Linked DNA regions of Schizosaccharomyces pombe. The protein of the gene in region 3 purifies or fractionates together with the protein of the main gene of each other region. This does not show direct contact. Each region holds a gene or a part of one and is shown on either strand. Other genes may lie near its edges. The genes, in order: swd22, ysh1, yth1 and cft1.

The links.
Region 1: the proteins of yth1 (region 3) and swd22 purify together in Schizosaccharomyces pombe (affinity purification with mass spectrometry; 2 studies listed by BioGRID). This does not show direct contact.
Region 2: the proteins of yth1 (region 3) and ysh1 purify together in Schizosaccharomyces pombe (affinity purification with mass spectrometry; 2 studies listed by BioGRID). This does not show direct contact.
Region 4: the proteins of yth1 (region 3) and cft1 purify together in Schizosaccharomyces pombe (affinity purification with mass spectrometry; 2 studies listed by BioGRID). This does not show direct contact.

The regions. Positions count from the first base shown.
Region 1 is NC_003424.3:1,687,063-1,692,215, forward strand, and holds swd22 (Set1C-histone-H3K4 methyltransferase complex subunit Swd2), read left to right. Parts: upstream 1-3,203; 5' UTR 3,204-3,299; coding exon 3,300-4,325; 3' UTR 4,326-4,653; downstream 4,654-5,153. Other genes in the region: bst1 (GPI inositol deacylase), read left to right, coding at 1-1,556; SPOM_SPAC824.03C (uncharacterized protein), read right to left, coding at 1,840-2,583; HOPS complex subunit Vps16, read left to right, coding at 4,945-4,975, 5,016-5,050, 5,099-5,153.
Region 2 is NC_003424.3:3,619,706-3,626,207, reverse strand, and holds ysh1 (cleavage and polyadenylation specificity factor complex endoribonuclease subunit Ysh1), read left to right. Parts: upstream 1-2,497; 5' UTR 2,498-2,563; coding exon 2,564-2,611; intron 2,612-2,665; coding exon 2,666-2,752; intron 2,753-2,798; exon of another isoform or gene 2,799-2,801; coding exon 2,802-2,899; exon of another isoform or gene 2,900-3,032; coding exon 3,033-3,161; exon of another isoform or gene 3,162-3,202; coding exon 3,203-4,103; exon of another isoform or gene 4,104-4,147; coding exon 4,148-4,694; exon of another isoform or gene 4,695-4,737; coding exon 4,738-5,201; 3' UTR 5,202-5,447; downstream 5,448-6,502. Other genes in the region: protein Rqc1, read right to left, coding at 1-634; pof8 (LARP7 family RNA-binding protein Pof8/Lar7), read right to left, coding at 1,131-2,339; sideroflexin Fsf1, read left to right, coding at 5,551-5,613, 5,654-5,679, 5,728-5,837, 5,951-6,024, 6,065-6,400. UniProt on the Schizosaccharomyces pombe protein: Component of the cleavage factor I (CF I) involved in pre-mRNA 3'-end processing.
Region 3 is NC_003424.3:509,034-513,612, reverse strand, and holds yth1 (cleavage and polyadenylation specificity factor complex subunit Yth1), read left to right. Parts: upstream 1-2,248; 5' UTR 2,249-2,276; coding exon 2,277-2,446; exon of another isoform or gene 2,447-2,542; coding exon 2,543-2,833; exon of another isoform or gene 2,834-2,892; coding exon 2,893-2,944; 3' UTR 2,945-3,203; downstream 3,204-4,579. Other genes in the region: fol3 (folylpolyglutamate synthase), read right to left, coding at 553-1,806; serine/threonine protein phosphatase PP2A regulatory subunit B-55 Pab1, read left to right, coding at 3,922-3,965, 4,010-4,050, 4,128-4,579. UniProt on the Schizosaccharomyces pombe protein: Component of the cleavage factor I (CF I) involved in pre-mRNA 3'-end processing.
Region 4 is NC_003423.3:1,111,297-1,119,574, forward strand, and holds cft1 (mRNA processing protein Cft1), read left to right. Parts: upstream 1-1,973; 5' UTR 1,974-2,042; coding exon 2,043-6,368; 3' UTR 6,369-6,932; downstream 6,933-8,278. Other genes in the region: erg27 (3-keto sterol reductase), read left to right, coding at 1-120, 169-705; RNase P and RNase MRP subunit Pop8, read left to right, coding at 1,439-1,491, 1,533-1,691, 1,749-1,863; translation termination factor Rrf1, read left to right, coding at 7,265-7,999. UniProt on the Schizosaccharomyces pombe protein: RNA-binding component of the cleavage and polyadenylation factor (CPF) complex, which plays a key role in polyadenylation-dependent pre-mRNA 3'-end formation and cooperates with cleavage factors including the CFIA complex and NAB4/CFIB.

The DNA.
Region 1 (5,153 bases), 1.2 Mb from region 3:
CGATTTCGAAACGCTTCAGGTTCCCTGGTATTCAGAGCTCAATTATGGCTTACACCATTTCAGTAACGTACGAACTTTATCCTGGTGCCGTACCTCAAAAAGAATTTACCCCTATGTTAAAGCAAAGTATTGAATCTCCATTTGAAACAAAATATCATGTGAATATGTCAAATACAGAACTTTCTGTTCACGGGATATCCCCATTTATGGAATTTTTTGGTAAGGAATCAGAAAAATCTTTAACTCTCGAATTCTTTTTGAATCCTGCTATCTATAAGTCGGTTTATGTTTCAATACAGCCAAGTTATTACAGGAGCGCTGGGCGTCTGCTCATGCGTTACAGAACATTACTTGCTTCCTTTCCTGTGGTTGTAATTAGTTTGGCAGCTTACAATCAGTTTAGGTATTTTCATTACGGTTCTGCATACTTGAGTATGTCGGCTGCACTTGAAGTCATGATTCGCAAAGGACTTATCAAACTCCTTTTTTTAGTTTCGATCTTGTCAATTGCATTTTCATATTTAATTAGCAGAGTAGAGTTGATTGTTGCCGATGGTGCTGACCCTGTCGCCTCTTGGAAAATATTCGCAATGATGGTTCCAAAATCTTTCTGGAAACAAAATCATTTACTTTTTGGACTACAGACTGCTCAATTTTGGTTCCTCGCCCCGCTGTTAACTTTAATGTTTGTTGGCTTAGTTATAACAGCCAGTGTTATTATACTCTGTGTCATGCATTTATTAGCATTCATATATGGTATCTACTTGCGTTATAAAGGTTTGACTTTTACTGGTGTATGCCAAGCTGTGAAGTTCTCCTTTCAATGTCTGAGAACAAGAAATACTAGAAAATTGGATCATGGAGAATTTAAAAAACTTTCGAGTTTTCTATCTCAGAGAAATATGTATTATGCAAACCCTTCTCTCTGTTACGTATATGGAAAGAAGCATATGCAAGCTCGGATAATTGGCATCATGTTATTGTTGCTCATGGCAATGACGGTGGTACCCTTTCAACTTGTTTATGGTGTTGCTTTATGTACCCAGACAGTAACTACTGCTAAAGCTTTACACTTGGCCCGATTTTGCACCAAGTCAAGCCATTACCGAAAAAAATTGTGGGATTTCTACAATTTCTCTTGCACGATAACAATACTGATGTTACTCTTAGCTCCTTTGGACTTTCCTGTTCTCATTGTTTGGGCTAGAAATCTTTCCATGCATTGGTCTATTCCTTTCCCCACACATCATAATTTCTTCTCAATTATCCCTTTTATATTACTCACCGAAATTTTACGAACAGGAAAGATGCTACCTCGTTTGAACGACGTGGAGTACTACATAAATAACGTTTTTTTGTTTCTTCTGTCTTTCTATTCATTGATATATGGAGCTGAAAAACCATACCTCATTCACAATGTAGTTGGGTTATACTTTTTTTGGCTTTTATTTTTGTATGCCAAGAATGGTTTTTTTGTACAAAACATTTCGAAATGGCCGATCATTCCTAGAATGAAGTATTTTATTAAGCACAAATTTTTGCGATCTATTTCTTAATGGAAACTTGTAACAATATTATTTAATTCTTTTCTCTTTTTTCTTTATTCTCTCTTTTATATTACATTATTTCCTTTATTTTCACACTGTTGAACACTTATCATACTTTAATTTTCAAGATAGAACTTCGTTTTTATTTGGTAGACATTCGTTCATTGAATTTTATTTCTATTTATTACCTTGAATAATATCTCTTTACAAAGTTTATTGGTTTATCAAAGACTGAATAACTCACATTAGCATGATGGAAATAGAAAAAGATGAATTAATATATGAGCTGTCATCAACAGTTAAGAGATATTTTTTGATTTTTGTAGACCAACACTAAAGGTACTGGCCTTTCTTCCGTACGTGATAATGGCTGTAATAGTTCAAATAAGGAAACATAATTCACTTGGGAAAATTCCTGAGATAAAGGCACAATATTAGCGGTTGGCGAAGGAAGCTTGTAAATCTGGCGCACACTCAGGTCGGGAAAAATAGCCAAAGCTTGGTGATTCCAAACAAATTGAAACATGTAGCTATGAAATCCGTCAACATATATGCGGCATAAGGCAAGAGGTCTGTTGCTGATGGACAAAGTCTTCAGTGAGGATGATGTGAAAGAACCCAAACAAGCCAAAATCCCAAGAGTATCTGTTGGATAAGATGACAAAGAGCCTTCAAGCTCTCTAACAAATCTGGGCCCTATTGATCCCTTGTTAGATTTGCAGGATACGACAACTTTGGTGGGCTCAAACAACACATTTTTAATCGAAAATTGGCCCACCAAATCCACCCCACCATCGCCCTTTCCACCACATCTTTCAAGCTGAAAACTGTGTTGCTTTAGCACATACTGTACCAAGTATTCAAACAAGGTTCCTTGGGCAACAGTATTCGACGTTGAAGGCTTCTGAACACTCAAATGTTCTAAATAGGAAACAAGATTGTTGTGTGTGACAGACAAGTTTCTAAGGCCTAAAAGGCCTCTGTTCATGAATGAAAAATTTCTACACCGATTGAACCCTGACTTTAAAATCCACATCACGCTAGACAGAATGCGAAAGACTTAAACAGTATAAAGTTCAGGATAAGAAATGAATTATGCAAATATTCATTCCCTTCTAATTCGAATAACAACGACTGAGGATCGAAAGTAGTTATTTAAATAATTTTTGCTGAATTTTAGAAGTTCGTGAATCACGCCGTTCCTTAGTAATTTTAATTAATCTGTTAACGGTTTGCAAAAGCAAATTCGCGATATCTAAGAAAAATTTATTCAGAAAATAACAAAAATACAGAGCTTTGAGGATTACAAGCAAGCGACAAAATAATTGAAACTGGTTCTGCTGTATTTCATGGAATGATCCAGCTTCCTTGGTAGCTTTGTTTATAAGTTTTCCTTAATAAAAATTTACTCTTAAATTATATTTGATAATATGAAAGTTTTGATAACATCACGCCTCCATTTCCACAATATCAAGCCTTCAGACTCTTTTATTAATCAAGTGTATTTTTGGTGGAGAAATTAATAGCCTGTTAATTTTCAACTTCACTATTCTTTTTAAAAGTTTTCGAATTGTAATTTAAAACTGTATACTAAAACGTGCTACAGTTCGTTAAACACGTTGTCTGGCACTACTCTAATTTTGTGGAATCACAAGTAAACAAATGCAAGCAAGGGCTTAGCAAAGTAGAAAGGCCCTTAAGGGGATATAAAAGGAAATTCAAAGAGAATTTATATATTTTATTTAATTCTCAATGGATATCGGCATACTTTCGAGTTTAAAGCCTGCACAGTCGTTTCGTGATAACTCATTAGGAAGCTTCATTAATAGCATTGATTACAGTGATTCTGGAGAGTATGTTGCAACGACATGTTCTGCCGATGACACAGTCCAAATATATGATGCTTTAGATCCGAAGCAAGTCCATACAATAACTTGTTTCGAAACCGGCATAGAAGTTGCTCGTTTTACACACCACGATCATAATCTACTTTTGTCTACCACAAAGGGGAATAAGGATATTCAATATGTTTCAATTTATGACAACAAAAGAATATCGTACTTCAGTGGGCACACGGACATCGTTTCATCCATTGAGGTTTCTCCTATTGAAGACCAATTCGTTAGTACGGCAAACGACAAAACCTTGAAGCTTTGGAAAATGAATCAATCCTCGAGATGCCTTGGAAATTTAGATCTCCCATCCCTTGGAATTCCCGCTTATGATCCCACAGGTCTTGTTTTTGCGGTTGCATGTCATTCACTGTCACGTATCTTTCTTTACGACGTGCGGAATTATGGTTCTGATCCGTTTTCAACATTCACAATAGATGACTCTCGTTACTTATCAAGGTTTTCGTTTCCCCCCATGATGCCTGAGTGGAAACATATGGAGTTTTCCAACGATGGAAAATGTATACTTCTCTCAACTAGAGCTAATGTTCACTATATACTTGATGCATTCAGCGGGGATGTTTTATCTAGATTAGAGGACTTCCAAGAATTGCCGTTCTCCAACAATTTTCACGGCGGCTCAACCACTTTTGTACCTCAAGGTAATTTTGTCATAGGATCTGCTGACGACCGTACCCTGAATGTATGGAATTTAAGACATACCTTTCACCATAAAGGAAAAACAAGACCTCCTGAACATCGTATTGTTTCTCAGTCTATAATTAATCCAGGTCTTGTTAAGTATAATCCTAGGTATGATCAACTTTTGACTGCAGGGTCCCAACTCGTTTTTTGGCTTCCCGAAAAATATGCCTTAACATCATGATTATACTGCTAAAGCATACCGTAATCTTCTCCCAGGTTTTAATTATTATATAATCTTATTTATGTCTTCAACAACTACCTATACGTAAACCTGAGGAACCTGTCATTTCAACAAATGAACTAAAAATTTTTAAAATATAAAATCCTCATAAATCTTTAATTGATTTTTCATATTTCCCGATCTTAATTTTCTTCATGCAATGTTAGAATTTTTACTAATACCCTTTTTATTAAAGGATTCGCTAGAATTCATTGATATATGAATATCAAGAAATCAAACTTTGCGATAAGCAAAATAATGTTAATACTATTCTATCTTTTGACATATACCATGTTGACATTGTATAACGCATACGTATGCATGTAAATGACTCCTAGATATATCTGTTTTCTTATTCCTTCAATCCACTGTAATTAAAAAAAAAGATTAAATTAAAGAAATCCCAGGTAAACGGGAAAGCGAATTGTTTAGGTGCTTGACATAGTGAGATGACTCTTACCAGTTGCTTTAAGTGTGATCGGGGATACCACTGTTCGTCACAATACTCACGTGTAATATACATTGAACTACATTTATAGAAGTTGCTTCACCTTTTTAGCATTTTCTAAATAAAATAGAAATGGAGCCTTCAATAAAGTATCCCATCTATGGTATGCCGTTCAGTTGCATAGTTATACTAATTTACGAAAGAATGGGAACTTTTACAAGACACTTATTACCAAAAGGTACGTCAGAATGGAATTTGTAACAGAGTTAAAAACTAATGTAACTAGTCAGCTATTGGAAAGGCGGAATGGGAATATATAGATCCTGTTGACTTTATGTTTG
Region 2 (6,502 bases), 3.1 Mb from region 3:
GTTTCCTCCGCAGGTTATCATGTCGAGCGTTGACCGAACGTTTCTCAACGATGCGGCCAAAAATCTTACGTATTTCAAGATCAGGATTTAACATACTAATATTTACACCCAATAACTTATTCAATTTTTCATCAAGTTCTTTATCTAACGGGATAGTAGCAGATTCTTCGACACCAGCAACATGCTCAACCTGATCTTGCTCACGATATTTAAGTTTTAATTCAGCAGCAGCCTTTTCTATTTCATCAATATCATCATCAATGTTTTTGCTTGATTCAAGTCCCTCCAATTTCTCATTATCAGAAGATTGATTATCTAAATCACGCTTTCCAGTGACTTTCTTCTTCTTCTGCTGCTTTTTCTTTTTCTTTTTATTTTTTGCTTTCTTATTTGTAGAGACAATTGGAGACTCGCCTTCTACTAATGGTTCATCCTGCTCTTCCTCAGAAACACTTTTTTCTGCCTCTGAGTTAATAGCATTATTTTCTTTTTCGAGAATTTCGAACACGTTTACTACTTTTTTCCCGGAAGTTGAAGAAAACTCGTCATCCTCATCAGATTCACTGTCTAAAGCTTCTTCCAATAGCTCGGTTTGTCTTTGACGCTGAAGTTTCCGTAAAGCTCGTGAAGACATGAGAATGGTTTGTGGTAGACTAGAATGGCAGATGTAAGAATTTAACTCAGACCTATGAAAACACACCTCAATTTCAAGAACTTTTCGGTATGCTAAATTAATATATAACATACAGAAAATATTTCATTTTAAGACTGTTAGCAGTGAAGAATATTACGTTTCGTAGTTAAAAGGCGTTAAGGAAAATACAAGCCGGGAGCAACAATGATGTACAGAATATGTAATTAAAATCTAAGTAATAGAATTTTGCAATTGTGGGGTGGTAAACCGTTTTTACATATTTGTGGTTCATGGTTTATTGGAATTTTTGCTGATCGCAATAGGTTATCAGCCAAATGAAAATTAGAGGGGTTATTAATACAAAAAACTGTTAATGCAAATTTAGTATTAAAGTGAGAATAACGACCGTGTTACCTTTTTGTATGCCTATATTACCAGAATATATTATAAAGTAGTAAATAAATCAAATTAGTATTACCAGAGAAAGGAAAACATATTACTTTTTTAACATACGCCAATAATTCTTTTCTTCTTCTCCGGTAATTAGCTCAGCAATCAGGAATGGACGGCTAGATCCCTTTTTCCTATGTGCCCGAATATCATCATGACTGTTTTGTTTCCTTTCTTGTGTACGAAACGCGTTGATACACGTCTCAGCATGAAGCGGTGTTTTCCAACGTATTATCGCCTCTGTTTCGTCCTTCCTATAGTCTATATACATGGGCTCACATGCAATATTCTGAGTTTGCCGCGAAAAAACATAACTCAAGAGGCTGTGAATAGTAGATTTATTAGTTAAAGGATGGAGGTTCTTGATACGGGTCAAAAGATTCTTGGTAAAATCCAAATTATCTTCATCTTTATCAGTTTGTGAGGTTTTGGATACAGACTTGGTCATTTGTTTTTCTACTTTAGTAAGTTTGGGATAACGATTTTCAGGAAAGGAATTGGATGAATTTGAAACGTCTGAAGATGACGCTTTTACTAAATGGAGTTGATTTTCAAAATATTTTTCTTCACGATTTGTCCATTCTTTACGAGTCAACAGTACCCATCCAGGAGGGACAGGCAACTTGCTAAGTGCTGATTGATCAACCTTTTTGTACAAAATTACAAAAGCATAACCTTCAGGAGTACCGATAGCATCAACATAGGGAAGGAACTCTTTGAGGTATTTGCGAAGTTTCCCAGCCAAAAGTAAACTTTTATTAGACAGAGTAGCCGGAACTGGTTCAACGTAAATAATTCTATCATACAGTGGTATGTCAAGAGGAAGAACAATATTCTCATTTCTAATAACCATGTGTGAGGAATTATCGAAATGAAACAGCGCATTAGTAACATAAGATAAAGCATACTTCAAGTTATTTTGCGTTGGATTCGGGCGGATTCCTTTCCAGAAATCATCTTGCTGGATTAAAAAGGCCAAGTGCACTTTTTCTTTTTGCCTTTCTCGGTGAAAATAAATTTCTAATATAGAATCAACGGCTGATAAAAAGTCAGGATTTAACGGTTCAATAAGCTGTCTATCTTGTTGATTTAACATGAGTCCTCCGCTTATGGAATGACTTGGTTCTTTGCTGGCTTCATTATGTTTGTAATGCTCATCTTTCAATTTGTTGTTATTTCCATCTGCAATAGAATTATTTTCCTTCCCTGTAAATGCTTTAATTTTGCGAACATTCAGTTGCCTTGGCACAAACATTTTACTTCGCTCCTTAAAGTACGGTTTTCTAGTATCAATTAAAGTGAAGTCATTAATAATAAATAGAATTAGGTGCTCTTAATTAAAAAAAAAAGGGTTGTAAATTTTTGTTCTGCTTTCTCCCAATTTATGTTGAATGCGTAGGTGAAGAATAACTCGCGCTTGCCCAGCACCCACGACCTTGTCTTTCCAATTGTGGTTTTTAGACAAAAGCCCTTGGAAAGATGTCCAAAAGAAAGGAATTTGATGAAGATGCACCTGTAGACCCATCCGTAAGCCTTGAATTTACGATTTTTTATAAGGGCCTACTTTCTAACCAATGTCAGGATTTACTGGAGTTTATTAACTTGGGAGCCGGAAATGAAGTTGGTCGCAGTTGCCATGTTATTCAATACAAAGGGAAAACAGTAATGGTATTTTAATTTTTATTTTGTTATGATTGTGAATGCTAATTTTTGCTAGCTCGATGCCGGTGTTCACCCTGCGTATACTGGGCTTTCAGCTCTTCCTTTTTTTGATGAGTTTGATTTGAGCACTGTAGATGTACTTTTAATTAGCCAGTAAGTCCCTTTTGTACCACTACTTGAGACGACCATAGGTTATTAGATTAGAGTACTTCTTGTACCAATTACTATTATGGTCCCTTAGGCATTGATTCATTTTTTTTTGAAAAGTATTTCTAACTTAAGCAAGCTTCCATTTGGATCATGTAGCCTCGCTTCCCTATGTTATGCAAAAGACGAACTTTAGAGGTCGTGTCTTCATGACTCATCCTACAAAGGCAGTTTGCAAGTGGCTTTTATCTGACTACGTGAAAGTGAGGTATGTATTCTTAGCTCTGAGTATTCATTAACAACTCGCAGTAATGTAGGCATGGAAGATCAGCTTTACGATGAGAAAGATTTGTTAGCCGCTTTTGATAGAATCGAGGCTGTTGACTACCATTCAACTATAGAAGTTGAGGGTATAAAGTTTACACCCTATCATGCGGGCCATGTTTTGGGTGCCTGTATGTATTTTGTGGAAATGGCTGGAGTCAATATTTTATTTACAGGCGACTACTCACGAGAAGAAGATCGCCATTTGCATGTCGCTGAGGTTCCTCCTAAAAGACCAGATGTGCTGATCACAGAATCCACGTATGGTACAGCATCTCACCAACCAAGACTGGAGAAGGAGGCTAGACTGTTAAATATTATTCATTCCACTATTCGCAATGGAGGGAGAGTTTTGATGCCTGTCTTTGCTCTTGGAAGAGCTCAGGAGTTATTACTCATTCTCGATGAATATTGGAATAATCATCTCGATCTTCGCTCAGTCCCTATCTATTATGCATCATCGCTAGCGAGAAAGTGTATGGCCATTTTTCAAACTTATGTTAACATGATGAATGATAATATTCGAAAAATTTTTGCCGAACGAAATCCGTTCATCTTTCGTTTTGTCAAAAGTCTAAGAAATTTAGAAAAATTCGATGATATTGGCCCTTCTGTAATATTGGCAAGTCCTGGTATGCTACAAAATGGTGTTTCAAGAACCCTCTTAGAAAGATGGGCTCCTGACCCTCGAAATACGTTACTTCTTACTGGTTATTCTGTTGAAGGGACAATGGCAAAGCAAATTACAAATGAGCCTATTGAAATTGTGTCACTTTCAGGCCAAAAGATTCCTAGAAGAATGGCAGTGGAGGAACTTTCTTTTGCGGCTCATGTTGATTATCTTCAAAACAGTGAATTCATTGACCTGGTAAATGCCGATCACATTGTATGTTTAGTTACTAATGTAACGTTAAAATTAACTAATTATAGATTTTGGTGCATGGTGAGCAAACAAATATGGGTCGATTAAAAAGTGCTCTAGCCAGCAAATTTCACAATAGAAAAGTCGATGTCAAAGTATATACCCCTCGAAATTGCGTACCGTTATATCTTCCTTTCAAAGGGGAACGGTTAGTGAGAGCTTTGGGAAAGGTCGCTGTTCATAAACCAAAAGAAGGCGACATTATGAGTGGAATTTTAATTCAAAAGGATGCCAATTATAAATTGATGTCAGCTGAAGATCTTCGAGATTTCAGTGACCTTACTACCACCGTTTTAACCCAAAAACAAGTCATTCCATTTTTTTCGAGTATGGAGCTTGCAAATTTCCATTTAAAACAAATGTTTGGATATGTCAAACAGTCAAAAACAAAGGCAGGACAACCTCAATATACAGTAATGGACGCCATTACTTTGACTTTAATCCAAGAACATAAGCTTGCTCTTGAATGGGTTGGCAACATTATGAATGATACAATAGCTGATTCAGTAATTACTATTCTACTAGGCATTGAAAGCAGTCCTGCTTCTGTCAAGTGTAAGTCTGCGTTTAATGTGGAACAATTTCTAACCATTAATAGTGACGAGCCATAAATGTAACCATTTGCATTCGCATTTAGATAAGCCTCCAAAAGTATCAAAGGAGGAAGATCGTATTAAAAAGCTGATGATGTTTTTGGACAACCAATTTGGCGAAAGTATGACTAAAACGGAAAAGGGGGTTGAAATCAAATTTGAAAAATATGAAGCGTCTATTGATTTTTCGACTATGAAAGTTGAATGTTCAAATGAAGCGTTACGATCTAGAGTCGTACATGTTTTATCCCGTGCGATCAATACTATCCTTCCATTTTCTGAAGCTTCACAAAACGACGTCTCCGAAGATGATTTTGAAAATGAAGAATCTGACGATGATAAAATCTTTGAGCAGCAAACGAAAATAGAAGATGATGTTAAAAATGAAAATAAGACAGAACCAGTTGAAGAACAGAAAAGCGAAGAAAAGAATGAACAGCCCAACCTTAAGAAAGAAGAACTTTCTTGAAAATTATTTACGAACGAATCTTTGCCTTTCATAGCCATGACACTTTTATGGCTACCTTCATTTTTTGCTATTTAAGTCTCAGTAGTTATCATGCACTCTGGTATTTCTGTTAAAAAATGCTGTTTCTTAGTCATGCGTGATCGAATCTTTAATTTATTCTTGCCATTTACGTCAAAGACAAACAATTTAATAGCCATTCCAAAAAAATTGACTAGTACTTAAAAAAATGCTATAACTATTTAGATTTTTGTAAGGAAAACTTTTTTTGTAGCTATTATGAACTCCAAAGACACTACCAATCGGGTTAATTAAGCAAATTTTTGTACCGACTACCAACACCAACACCACAATGTCCAGCAATAAGCTGCCCACCTCTAAGTATGACTTGTCCACCTATTGGGGACGTGTTCGTGTATGTTATATTACTCTTTGTATTTATGCTAATGCGGCAGCACGCTATGGATATTACTGATCCAAGGTAATTATAATTTAACTACATGATCGTTTGAGCACCTAACATCTGTAGGACACTTCTCTCTACATCTCAAGATTTAAATAGCGCCGTCAAAACTCTGGAAGACTATGGAGCGGGTAAAATTGCACAATTAGATGAAACGGTTTGGCATGCAAAGAAAAGTATGTAGTTATACGATACAAATCCGATCAAATGTTATATTATTTGATTAGTTATTTTTTTTGTTATTAAATATATTTTCAAATTAAAAAAAAAAACATATTAACGATTTTAGTTGTTGATTCAACTTTGCATCCCGATACTAAGGAACCTGTTTTCTTACCATTCCGAATGTCATGCTTTGTCTTGGTAAGATAATACTATTTAGTGACTAAATGCTAATCATTAGACTAATTTGGTCGTCACAGCAGGTATGCTGCAACCAAACCTTGGTACCGCTGGAACCGTTTTTTGGCAGTGGATGAATCAATCTGTAAATGTAGCTTTTAATTCTGCAAATGCAAATAAATCTACGCAATTGACTCTTCCGCAGATGACTAAATCCTATATTTATGCTGTTAGTGCAAGTTGTGGTGTTGCTATTGGTCTCAACAAAATTGTGCCTCGTATGAACTTTCTTTCTTCTTCGTCCAAAGCGGTACTCGGAAGATTGACCCCTTTTGCTGCTGTTGCTTCAGCTGGTGTTTTAAATGTCTTTTTGATGCGCGGCGAAGAACTTCGTCAGGTATGAGTTTTAGCCTAAGTTTATTTATTCTGGGTACAAACCTATGTATTGAAGTTTCATACATTGGTTTTGTGTTTTTTCATTCTTTACTAATGTTTGTAT
Region 3 (4,579 bases):
TAGTCTAATTTTTAAATGCCTATCATTTGCACTATACGTATATCAACTTGATTAGCTCAACCTGTGAGATAGAAGGGTATATTTTTTTAACGATTTCAGCGTTTTACTTATTTTATTGCAGTTACGACAGTATTTAATAATAATTAAAAGAAAGGCGGAATCTTTCAATGTGCTAAATATGCTTCAGTTATCCCACCTTATCTTGTAAGAATTGTAAATCAAGATCTAGTCACATAATGAAAATAATATCTGTTTTATTAAGGCTGCAGGCAGAGCGCACCAAGTATTTAAACTAATGTATTCGTAATCTATAAGTCAATTTCTAACTCAATATCTTAACTCACACCAAAAACCCATCAAAGCTTAATATAAATCTTTTATCTTTTTTCTATTAACCTGATAGCATCATTCAAGCTTCTTTGAAAGTAAATTTTAGTTTTTAAGTCATGGAACAAAATTCTCTAGAGCACAATTCATCACTCTGTGACAATTCATATGATAAATTTGTCAAACAAGGAAAAACGTATGAAAGTAAACAGCACGATTTAGAGGCTATACGTCCAGTTTTAAATAACGATACATGTCTCCTAGAAGATAAAGACTACCGCATACAATTACGCTGGAATTCTTCTCTTTTGCCAGTCTTAAAATTTCGCTTATTGTTAGATTATCTGCAGTATAGCATTCCACAGAAGATTCCGAAGATATACTGTTTTTTATAACTTCAGGTTCCATTGATTTAATCCAGGGCATCCCACTTACTGAAGAAAAATTTGTCGCTATAACGGTATCTCCTTTACGAAGAAGGATTTTCATAATCCCAGTAACGTCTTTTGTGTTAGTGAAAGCTACTACCCATGATACTGATTTATTGTGCTCACGTCTTTGCGAATTTACAAATTTCGCAAGCTCAATCGCAGCTTCTTTATTGTGTGCTCCGTCAAATAAAATATCACCCAAAGAAGGAACCGAACGAATGTCAAGCCTTCCAGGCCAAGATGTATTTTTTACACCATTTTGTACATGGGGAAGCATAATTGAAAATGACGAAGAAAGGATATCGAGAGCAGTTACTGCACAAGCCAAATTTTGTCCTTGATAATCCCCCTTCAATGGAGTACTAAAAGTATTGGTTCCCCAATTTGGAGTATTGATGATCCACTCATTTTTGTTTTCACCTGATTTTCCTTTTGCCAAATAAAACGGATGTGCCCTCGTTTCCTCTGCACTTAATTTTAATTGATTTAGGACGTTAACTTCATTTAACCCATCAACCACGCACGGAACATTCTTTTTAAAGATCCCAGCCTTTTCTTTAGCAATAGCCTCTAAGGTATTTCCTAAAAATGCTTGATGGTCCAAGCAAATACGTGAAATTATTGAAAGAACTGGTTCTTCAAATACATTAGTAGCATCCAAACGACCACCCATTCCTGTTTCAATTACAGCCACACGAACACCTGAATGATGAAAACATTGGAACGCAGTAGCAGTTAACAATTCAAATTCCGTCGCTTTTGTACGAAATCTTCTATCCACTTCAATCACCTGCTTCCAACAAGTATTAAATATCTCTTCACTAGCAATCTGACCATTTATGCTTATGGTATCTCTTGGCTCTAAGAAATGAGGACTTGTATAGCGTCCTGTTTTAATAGCAGCTTGCAAAAGACTCGTGTATATATAGCTACAAATGCTACCTTTACCATTAGTCCCAGCAATTTGTACAGCACAAAACGATTCCTGTGGATTGCCAAGGTGCTTCAAGAGCTGTAGCATACGCTGAAGACCTAGCTGAATAGGCATCCTACGTGAGCGATAGTAAAGGAGGAATTTTAATGCTGTATTATTAAAAAATAATGATTCTTTACCTTTATAAGCTCGTAAAAACTTTAAAAGTACTTGGTCATGTGAATATGTTTTGCATGTGGAAGCGAAGATAATACGTTTTCTGTTGCAAATTAGTATGTTAGTAAAATTCTCAACAGAAGCAATTAGTTATGTCTCTGACGAGGTAAATTTTAGATAAAAAGAATATGTTTTATAAAAGTTATTTTATTCGTATGCTGCATAATATCATTCTTTACTTAGGTTTCAAACATACCTATGAAGAAAACCTTAAAACAATAGCGATTTCATGAATATTATAAGAATAATTTAATTCGTTCTAGTTTAATAAGCATCATTTATAGTATGTGAATGCCAGTCAATAAAGTATTTGTGATATTCAAGTCAACTGAACAACGTTGCCTCCGCCATCTACTGGTTACTACAAAATGACTGATTATATCAAAGATAAAGCTATAGCAGCTGATTTTTCTTCAGTTCAATTTCGTTTTGATAACTATTTAAAGCAAAATTTTAATTTCGGAAGGTCTGCCTTGCTAAACTCTGGAAATGGACGCGATTCTGGATCGAAAATGGGTAGCGTGGTTTGCAAGCATTGGTATGTATATATAAAGAAGAGTAATATGAATATATATTTCATGTATTTTTCTATTTGTTTTTGTTTCTACCTTCATGATAACTAATATTATATAAGGCTTCGTGGACTTTGTAAAAAAGGTGAACAGTGTGATTTTTTACACGAGTACAATTTAAAAAAGATGCCTCCATGTCACTTTTATGCAGAGCGCGGCTGGTGTTCTAATGGCGAAGAGTGTTTATATCTCCATTTGGATCCCAGTAAACAAGTTGGTGTCTGTGCCTGGTATAATATGGGATTTTGTCCTTTAGGACCTATATGTCGAGGCAAACATGTACGAAAACCAAGGCCTTGCCCAAAATATTTAGCTGGGTTTTGTCCGCTAGGCCCTAATTGCCCAGATGCTCAGTAAGTTTTTTGAAGAATTATAGTGTTGACTTTCTCTTTCTATTACTAACATGTTCTAGTCCTAAACACTCTGAACCTCCGCATCCTCCTCAAAAGCGGAAAGACTGGTAAAGGATGCGTTTTTTAATGTGTCACTGTATATTAGGTAATGAAATCAAGTTATCAATGGAGTATATGCAATTAGTGATGCCGTACATTGATTATTGAGATTTTTTTTTATGGAATAAAATTAATTATCGACGTTGGGTTTGTCTTGGTTGCGGCGAACCAAATCGACACATAATCGGGATAATAGAAGTATTTAGAAACCGAAAAATAAGTTTTAAATAATAAGTCTCCCTTTTACATATGTTTTTTGCAACATAGAAGGAAAAGAAAATTTAGGAACTTAAGTATCGTTTACCAGTATGTAAAACGCTTACGTAGAGCGCCATCGTAATGTATCAAGGACGGTTTATTCATTTAATCATTCATACGTTATTCGTAAAATATTTGCTACTTTCCAGTTATGTTTCTTATTTTTTTGTAATTTACTTATCTGCTGTATTCAATTTTGCAAACTATAAAAACAATATGGATCTTTTATATGACAATGAACTTCTAGTTTTTTATAATCAAAAACACCTTTCTTTAGCGTACAAATGATTAAGGTTTCATTAATGGGAAATTGCCAACAAGTTTTACACTGGACTTTGTAAAGTTGAGCAAAAAATCCTATGTGTAGTAAAGCGTAAGATGAACACTGAAGTAATGAAATAGTGTTGTATTTATCAAAAATCCATTAATAACTTAAAGTCGCTTAAGGCTTGATTTACCGATAAAAATTTTACTGAGCTTTTGACTCGCCGAAGAGTGGTGTAGATTCGTTAGGGTAGCAGCATTTGATACGAACCATCAAGTTAGGAAAATCAGCAGCCCTCCAAAAAAGCCAGTGAAAACTGGGAAACTTTGTATCAAAACTTTTGAAAAAAGATCCAAAGACGGTATAGAGATACCCTTAGAAATTTGAAGATCAAGATCTTCGTATACAATTGAAATTGGCAAAGTGTACCAACGGGAACGAAATCTTAATATAATACGAGTAGAAGATGGATGATATAGAAGACTCTTTGGATCAGTGGAAATTTGCCCAGTATGTAAACGATGTGTGAAAAAAATTAATGACTAACTCTTTAGATGCTTTGGTGACAAGGGTGATGTGGAAGACATCACTGAAGGTATTGGTTTTGAGTAGTTCTCTCATAAAAGAGTTCTCTTTTACTTTAATCACTGAATAAATGACTAACAAGTTTAGCCGATATCATTTCAGCAGTAGAATTCGACCACACAGGTGATTATCTAGCAACCGGCGATAAAGGTGGCAGAGTCGTTCTTTTTGAGCGAAATCATTCGAAAAAGGGTTGTGAGTATAAGTTTTTTACTGAATTTCAAAGTCATGAACCCGAGTTTGATTATCTCAAGTCCTTAGAAATCGAAGAAAAGATCAATAAAATTCGCTGGTGCAAGAGGACTAATCGAGCGCATTTTTTACTCTCAACGAATGATAAAACTATAAAATTGTGGAAACTATATGAAAAGAATTTGAAAGTCGTTGCCGAAAATAATTTGTCGGACAGTTTCCACAGTCCTATGCAAGGACCTTTGACAACACCTTCGCAACTTCGACTCCCACGACTCAACCATCATGACATGATTATCGCTGCATATCCACGACGTGTTTACGCTAATGCACACGCATATCATATT
Region 4 (8,278 bases), on a different chromosome or scaffold from region 3:
TTGATCAACCCTATCCAGGCACTGACGCATCCAACCTTTTACAAAGAGACTGCTGGACGTGTGAGCAATGACTCCCTCGGTTACATATTTGAAAGTAATGTTTTTGGTCATTTTTATTTGGTAAGTTTTTTCACCTTAATTCCGTATGTTAGTACTAATTTACATAAGAAAAATCGCCTGGCCGAACTAAAAGTGCTCCGTTCGTCAACAAAGGTAGTCCTTACAAGCAGTTTAGTAGCAGAAAAAAAATCCCTTGATTTTGAAGACCTACAATGTTTTCACGGCGAGCAACCCTATCAATCTTCAAAGCGTTTGTTAGATGTGTTACACTATGCAGAACTTGAAAAGGGACTCCCTTTTGAACAATACCTTGTCCATCCCGGACTATGTACTACTAACATGTATGAAACTTTCCTCGGTCCTATATTGGTTATGTGTGCAAAGCTCGGTTTCTATATTTGTCGCTTACTTGGAAGTCCTTGGCATACAATTTCTCCATACGTTGCTGCTTTTGCTTTTCTTTGGACTGCTTTACATGCTACCAAAGAAGATCAATCTATCAAGTGGGGAGCAGCCGTGACTCGTTTTGGTCATGAAAGAGTCCTCTCTACTCCTGTGGAATTAATTTTGCCTTCAGAGCAAGAGAAAGCTTTAGAATATATGACAAAACTTTACCAGGAATGGAAAAAGAAGCTGGTTTCGTAAAGGGAAACATTTACATATTCTCTTGCGCGGAGGCCTTGATAAAAATCTGGAGTACCAGTTAATTTTAAAGTGCACGAGACGAGGGGAGTTATGAAAGAACAATCCCTGATTCATTGCATTCTCAGTAAAACATTTTGAAAATTGCTTTTATCAAATTTTGCTACAATCGGTATAGATATCTTGACAAAATGAATAGATAAGGGGATTTTAACCAAGTCTGGAATATAGTTTATGTCTCAATTTAGTTAATACAAACATACGAATTTATTAGAACCTCGGACTCGGAAAAGTTTATATGAAGAATTCCGCGAGTTGCCGTCTTTGTCTCATGCTAGCTATAAGACCGCATTTCGTAAATTGTGTATCTGGATATATTTTATCAACCAGCAAAATTAAATTATGAAAAATAGCAATAATTCAAGTTATTAAATTTTTCTAATATTACACTTCGAATTGAAGGCTTCCTCATTTTGTTCAGCTGTTTGCTTTCTACAGGCATGAAAACAGGAAACATAATTAAACAGTACCTCAATTATTCGAAGATTAGCCTTCACATAACAGTTTATGTGATGGTACGATAATTTTAGTATGATAATTACGAGCTTGTAGATTCCACAGGAACTGCAGCAAATGCATCCTTAAACGTGTTGGTATCGTACTTACTCAGAAGTTTACTTCTCTATACAACTTTCACCAGACACGATCTGCCTTCCTTTTGAGTTAAAAAGAGGCCATGGTACTTCATCAACGTTTAAAAAGCGAATGGTCATATATAATACTTGAAGTGTAAGGAAGTCTGGGATAATTTGTTTCACTGACATACTTAGGGTTGGAGGTACTACCCCTATAGATGAAATAGACGATATTTCTTTACGACATCTCATCACATTAGCTCTAAATCAGTCATTTGGAATATTTGGGTCTGCAATTCCTATTGATTTTTTGCATCGACAATCAAAATTTTTGTATCTAAGGTGCCATAAAGAGTATGTCAACTACTGTAATTGTAATGTGCTATTTTACTTACTGAACAATAATAATAGGGATAAAAAGAAAGTCCTTGTGGCACTCGGATCCTATGTTCGCGAACCTGAACAAATAAGACTTATGGTATTACACGCTTCAGACTTTCCTTGTCAAGCGGTTCCTTTTTCATAAGTAAAAAGGATTGTATTATTATTATGTAAATTACTAGTTATTTAAAATGAATTGCTTTTAAAACCTACTTGTAGATTTTGTACACTGTATTTGGACGCGTCCAACTCCTTACTCTACCTCATCCTTTCCAGAAGCTCAACGTCCCAGTTGAAAGGCACATTTAATGTGGTATTTGCTTTATGTCAACCATATTTCAAGACCTAGTGGACTCTACAGTTATAAAAAATGCTGTCCAAGGCCAATTTACTTCTCTTGTATCTAATAACCTAGTGGTAAGTAAAGTGAATTCTTTACACCTTTTTGAGATTGAAAAGATTCAAAAAGATGAATCCAGTTTCCCATTAGATGATTCCTTGCAGAATGAATTCTCCACCAGCATAATCGATGAAAGTCAGGCGTTCATGGAGACAAATATGCATCTCATACGTACCAATGAACAAACTACCTACGTTCTTAGACTCGTTTCTCAAGTTAAAGTCTTCGGGACTATAACGGAAATATCGGCTTTGAAGGGAAAGGGAAGTAATGGGTGTGATTTGTTAATTATGCTTACCGACTATGCAAAAGTATCTACGTTGGAATGGGATATGCAAAGTCAGAGCTTCGTAACTAATAGTCTTCACTATTATGAAGATGTCAAATCTTCAAATATATGCTCCTCTCATACCCCTACACAGCTCTTGGTGGATCCGGATTCCGACTGTTGCCTATTACGATTTTTAACTGATATGATGGCTATTATTCCATATCCAGCTAACGAAGATTTGGATATGGAAGAGGCTGCTATAGAAAATTCTAAAATTTCTTCATCTTATGCCTACAAACCCTCCTTTGTCTTAGCTTCTTCTCAACTGGATGCTAGTATTTCACGAATTCTTGACGTTAAATTTCTATACGGATATCGCGAGCCTACACTAGCCATTCTATATAGTCCCGAACAGACTTCTACCGTTACTTTACCATTAAGAAAGGATACCGTTCTCTTTTCATTGGTAACTTTAGACTTAGAGCAACGCGCTAGTGCCGTTATTACTACCATTCAATCACTTCCCTACGATATCTACGCATCGGTTTCAATACCTACGCCTCTTGGAGGTTCTTTATTGTTGGGTGGAAATGAGCTTATATATGTTGATTCCGCTGGCCGGACTGTCGGTATCGGCGTAAATTCTTACTACTCAAAGTGTACTGATTTCCCACTTCAAGACCAGTCTGATTTTAACCTGGAACTAGAGGGGACTATTGCCATTCCCTTAACAAGTAGTAAGACTGAAACTCCCTTTGTCGTATTGGTGCACACGTCCGGTCAATTTTTTTATCTAGATTTTTTACTTGATGGTAAATCAGTCAAAGGACTGTCATTACAAGCTTTGGATTTAGAAATTAATGATGACTTTCTTAAATCAGGAATCACTTGTGCAGTGCCTGCTGGCGAAAATCTTGTTTTCTTAGGTAGCCAGACTACTGACAGTTATTTGCTTCGTTGGTCTCGGCGTACTACTAATGAGGAGGTAAGATTGGATGAAGGAGACGATACTCTTTATGGAACGAACGATGCTGAAATGGATGATATGCTTGATATTTATGAAACAGATGAATCCGTGGGTTCTAAAAGGAAGATTGCTTATGAAAACGGCCCGCTACGTCTAGAAATATGTGATGTATTGACAAATATTGGTCCAATTACTGACTTTGCCGTTGGAAAGGCAGGATCGTACTCCTATTTCCCTCAAGACAACCATGGACCTCTGGAATTGGTAGGTACAGCAGGAGCTGACGGTGCTGGCGGTCTTGTTGTTTTTCGGCGAAACATATTTCCATTAATAGCCGGTGAATTTCAATTTGACGGCTGTGAAGCACTATGGACCGTTAGTATTTCAGGAAAGCTACGAAATATGAAAAGCAGAATACAAGCTCAATACTCAAATCCCGAGTTAGAAACTTATCTTGTACTTTCTAAAGAGAAGGAGTCGTTTATATTTTTGGCAGGTGAAACCTTTGATGAGGTACAGCATTCTGACTTTTCTAAGGACTCGAAGACACTTAATGTCGGCTCTTTGCTTTCCGGTATGCGTATGGTTCAGATATGTCCTACTAGCCTGCGTGTATACGACTCAAATTTACGTCTTACTCAACTTTTTAATTTTAGCAAAAAACAAATAGTCGTCTCAACAAGCATTTGTGATCCTTGTATAATCGTTGTCTTTTTGGGTGGTGGAATCGCTCTTTACAAAATGGATTTAAAATCCCAAAGGCTGATCAAAACGGATTTACAAAATAGACTTTCGGATGTTAAGACAGCTTCTTTAGTTTCCCCTGATAGTTCTGCACTTTTTGCAAAGCTTTTTACCTATAACGAAACCCTTAACGCCAAGGGTCAAATAGCCAATGGAATGAATGATTCAGCTTCTGAGACAGATTTGGATATTCAACCTAACCATAAAACAAGTAATAATGATCAAATGGGGTATGATCAGTCAGTAAGTGCTGATGATGTTCCTGAGGTTGACAACACCATCGTCACTGAAAAAAATGTTAGTAATTTAGATCAGGAGTCTCTGGAAAAACATCCAATATTATTTGCTTTGACTGATGAAGGTAAATTAAAAGTTTACAACTTGGCAGATTTTTCCCTTTTAATGGAGTGCGATGTTTTCGATTTACCACCTACATTATTTAATGGGATGGAATCAGAGAGGACCTATTTTAACAAAGAATCCAGTCAAGAACTTGTTGAATTACTTGTAGCAGATTTAGGTGATGATTTCAAGGAGCCACATTTATTTCTCAGGTCAAGACTAAACGAGATTACAGTCTACAAAGCATTCTTATATTCTAACACTGATAAGCATAAAAATTTGTTAGCTTTTGCTAAAGTACCACAAGAAACAATGACAAGGGAATTCCAAGCAAATGTTGGGACTCCCAGAGATGCAGAATCTACAATGGAGAAAAAGGCTTCAAGCTCTGTTGATCATTTAAAAATGACAGCTTTAGAAGTAGTAGGCAATCACTCCGCAGTTTTTGTAACTGGGCGGAAACCCTTTTTAATTTTGAGTACTCTTCACTCAAATGCCAAGTTCTTTCCTATATCCTCCAACATACCAATTTTATCTGTTGCACCTTTTCATGCACACCATGCGCCACAGGGTTATATATATGTAGATGAAAACTCATTTATTCGCATTTGCAAATTTCAAGAAGATTTTGAATACGACAATAAATGGCCTTACAAGAAAGTTTCTTTAGGAAAACAAATCAATGGAATAGCCTATCATCCTACAAAAATGGTTTATGCTGTTGGAAGTGCCGTACCGATTGAGTTTAAAGTAACTGACGAGGATGGAAACGAGCCTTATGCGATTACTGATGACAATGATTATCTTCCAATGGCCAACACCGGTTCGCTTGACCTTGTTTCCCCCTTAACGTGGACTGTTATAGATAGTTATGAATTTCAACAATTTGAGATTCCCTTATCGGTTGCTTTGGTTAACCTTGAAGTTTCTGAAACAACTAAACTGAGGAAGCCATATATCGCTGTAGGGACCTCTATCACCAAAGGTGAAGATATTGCTGTTCGCGGATCTACATATTTATTTGAAATTATTGATGTCGTGCCTCAACCCGGGCGACCAGAAACTCGTCATAAATTGAAATTAGTGACTAGAGAGGAAATTAAGGGTACAGTCGCGGTGGTATGCGAAGTTGATGGGTATTTGTTGAGTGGTCAAGGCCAAAAAGTAATTGTACGTGCTTTGGAAGACGAAGACCATTTGGTTGGCGTTTCTTTTATTGACCTTGGGAGTTATACATTGTCTGCTAAATGTTTGCGAAATTTGTTATTGTTTGGCGATGTCCGACAAAACGTAACGTTTGTCGGTTTTGCCGAAGAGCCATACAGAATGACTTTATTTTCTAAAGGTCAAGAAGCGCTCAACGTATCTGCTGCAGATTTTCTTGTGCAAGGTGAGAATTTATACTTTGTAGTGGCCGATACATCTGGAAACTTAAGATTACTTGCATATGATCCTGAAAATCCCGAATCTCATTCTGGTGAAAGACTTGTAACACGTGGAGATTTCCATATAGGAAATGTAATTACTGCTATGACGATATTGCCAAAAGAAAAAAAGCATCAAAATGCCGAGTATGGTTATGATACGGGAGATGACTTCTCTTGTGTAATGGTAAATAGTGATGGTGGACTTCAAATGCTGGTTCCGATTTCTGATCGGGTGTATCGTCGTTTGAACATTATCCAGAACTACCTTGCCAACCGTGTTAATACGATAGGCGGCCTAAATCCCAAGTCCTATCGTCTCATCACCTCCCCATCCAACTTGACTAATCCAACTCGACGAATTCTCGATGGTATGCTCATCGATTACTTTACATATATGTCAGTTGCTCATCGACATGAGATGGCTCATAAATGTGGTGTTCCAGTATCCACTATTATGAATGATCTGGTAGAGTTGGATGAAGCTTTAAGTTATATGTAATTGGGCGTAGTTATTTAAAAATTTTTTTTGCATATTTTTGAAACTAAAGGATACCATGATCTATAGCAGGATGCACTTAACAAAAACAACATAAATGATGGCAAAAGTAATAATGCAAATATTGTAAAAGGATGCTTTCATTATTAGTGTTTGAAGCTCATTTTCTCGCGAAGATTGACGTACCATATGATTTGGTAAAAGAGTAATTTACTTAACATTAGTATAAAAGCATCCTATACTTTGTATATACATGTTTGTTGACAAGGATATGATGAGTACAAGGTATGTTAACCACTGATCATTTTTACAGGCTAGGATCCTTATATATAAATACCAAATTCATATACGGTCAACGGCTTGGGAATTTTCAATTTCATTCAACCTGTGAATAGGTTAGCAAACGCTTTTATGCATTTCATTACCTATTATTATTCCTCTATGTGTTTATCTCCCAGGATAGCAATATGCGATAATTCTGACAATTATCGTGTATATACAAACAAAATTGTTAACTTGTATAAATGATCAAAATTATTAATAAAATAGATCAATTGAACATACGTGCATCATTTAATTAAGCTAGGTTATTTCATCGAAATTATTATACTATACAATATTTTATTTACATAAGACATCAATAAGTATTACAGTAAACGCACCTACATAATATTATATATGGATAGCATGAAAAATCAACGTAGTAATTTGGTATTCATAAAAAGACCTTAACATACCGTGTAGCTAATAACACAGTGCAATGTATTGTCCTGTATATTTCAATACCTTCATCTCCGTTATTCAAATACGCATAAGGTAAATCTGCATCACGTAGTAAATTGGTGAAAAGAATCAGTTAGTCATTGCTTTTCTCATATCCATCAGTCTCTCTTTTTTTAATGTTTCGGATTATTAGCAAAGCAACGTTGTTTCAAGATTCACAACGGTTCCACACTTCTATACTGTCGCCCAGATGTGCATTTCATAATGGTGGAATTTTGCATAAAAAAGCTAAGGATAAAGATGTTAAGCATGATCACGATCCAGAATTTGCTAATTCATTTAATAAAATGTTGAAAAGCTTTGAAGCAAAAATGCAATTGGTTCACGAAAAGTTGGCTAAACGATTTCAAGAGGCAGTTGTTTTACCGAGTCAAGGAAATTTCACTCAACTAGAAGCACTTTTCATACCATCCAAAAGCATAAAAGCTCCTACTCCTAGTCGTCTGCTTCGAGAAATTGCAGCTGTTAGTCAGAAAGGTTCTCAGCAAATTATTATTCGTCCATTTGAAGACGTTGACATAAAAAACATCCTAAAAGCAATTGAAGATAGCAGATACCCGTTTGTAGCTAATAAGCTGAATGCATCAACAATTGAGGTGAAGCCACAACGAACCACTTTAGAAAGTCGGCAGCAGTTGGCCAAAGTATTAGAAGGATACGCAAAAGATAGTCGAGAACAGCTGTCTGCAATGCGAACTGAATTAAAAAAAGAGATTGCAAAAAATAAGAAAAGTAAAGCTTGGACGTCCGATGATTGTTATAAAGCAGAAGCGGAAATGCAAACAGCTTTTAAAAATGCCATCAATTTGCTTGATAGCGGTTTGAAATCAGCTTTGAAAAAGGTAATATAATCTCAATTACGCCAGATTTAATATCTCTTTGTGATGTATATTCATTTCATAGTAATTTTATAAACACGACTACATTATGTTTTCGATATACCGAACAAAATTGTTGAGTAAACTCAATTAGAGGTAGCTAAAATGAATGTGAATCTATTATTTACCGAGAAAACAGTTATTGCCTGAATTGGAGGTGCCTATGTAATGTATAAAATAAAATAAAAAAAATAAGTGAAAACTCCTAAGTCAAAAAATAGCAACAAAATGACTGAAAGTGCAGTCTGATAA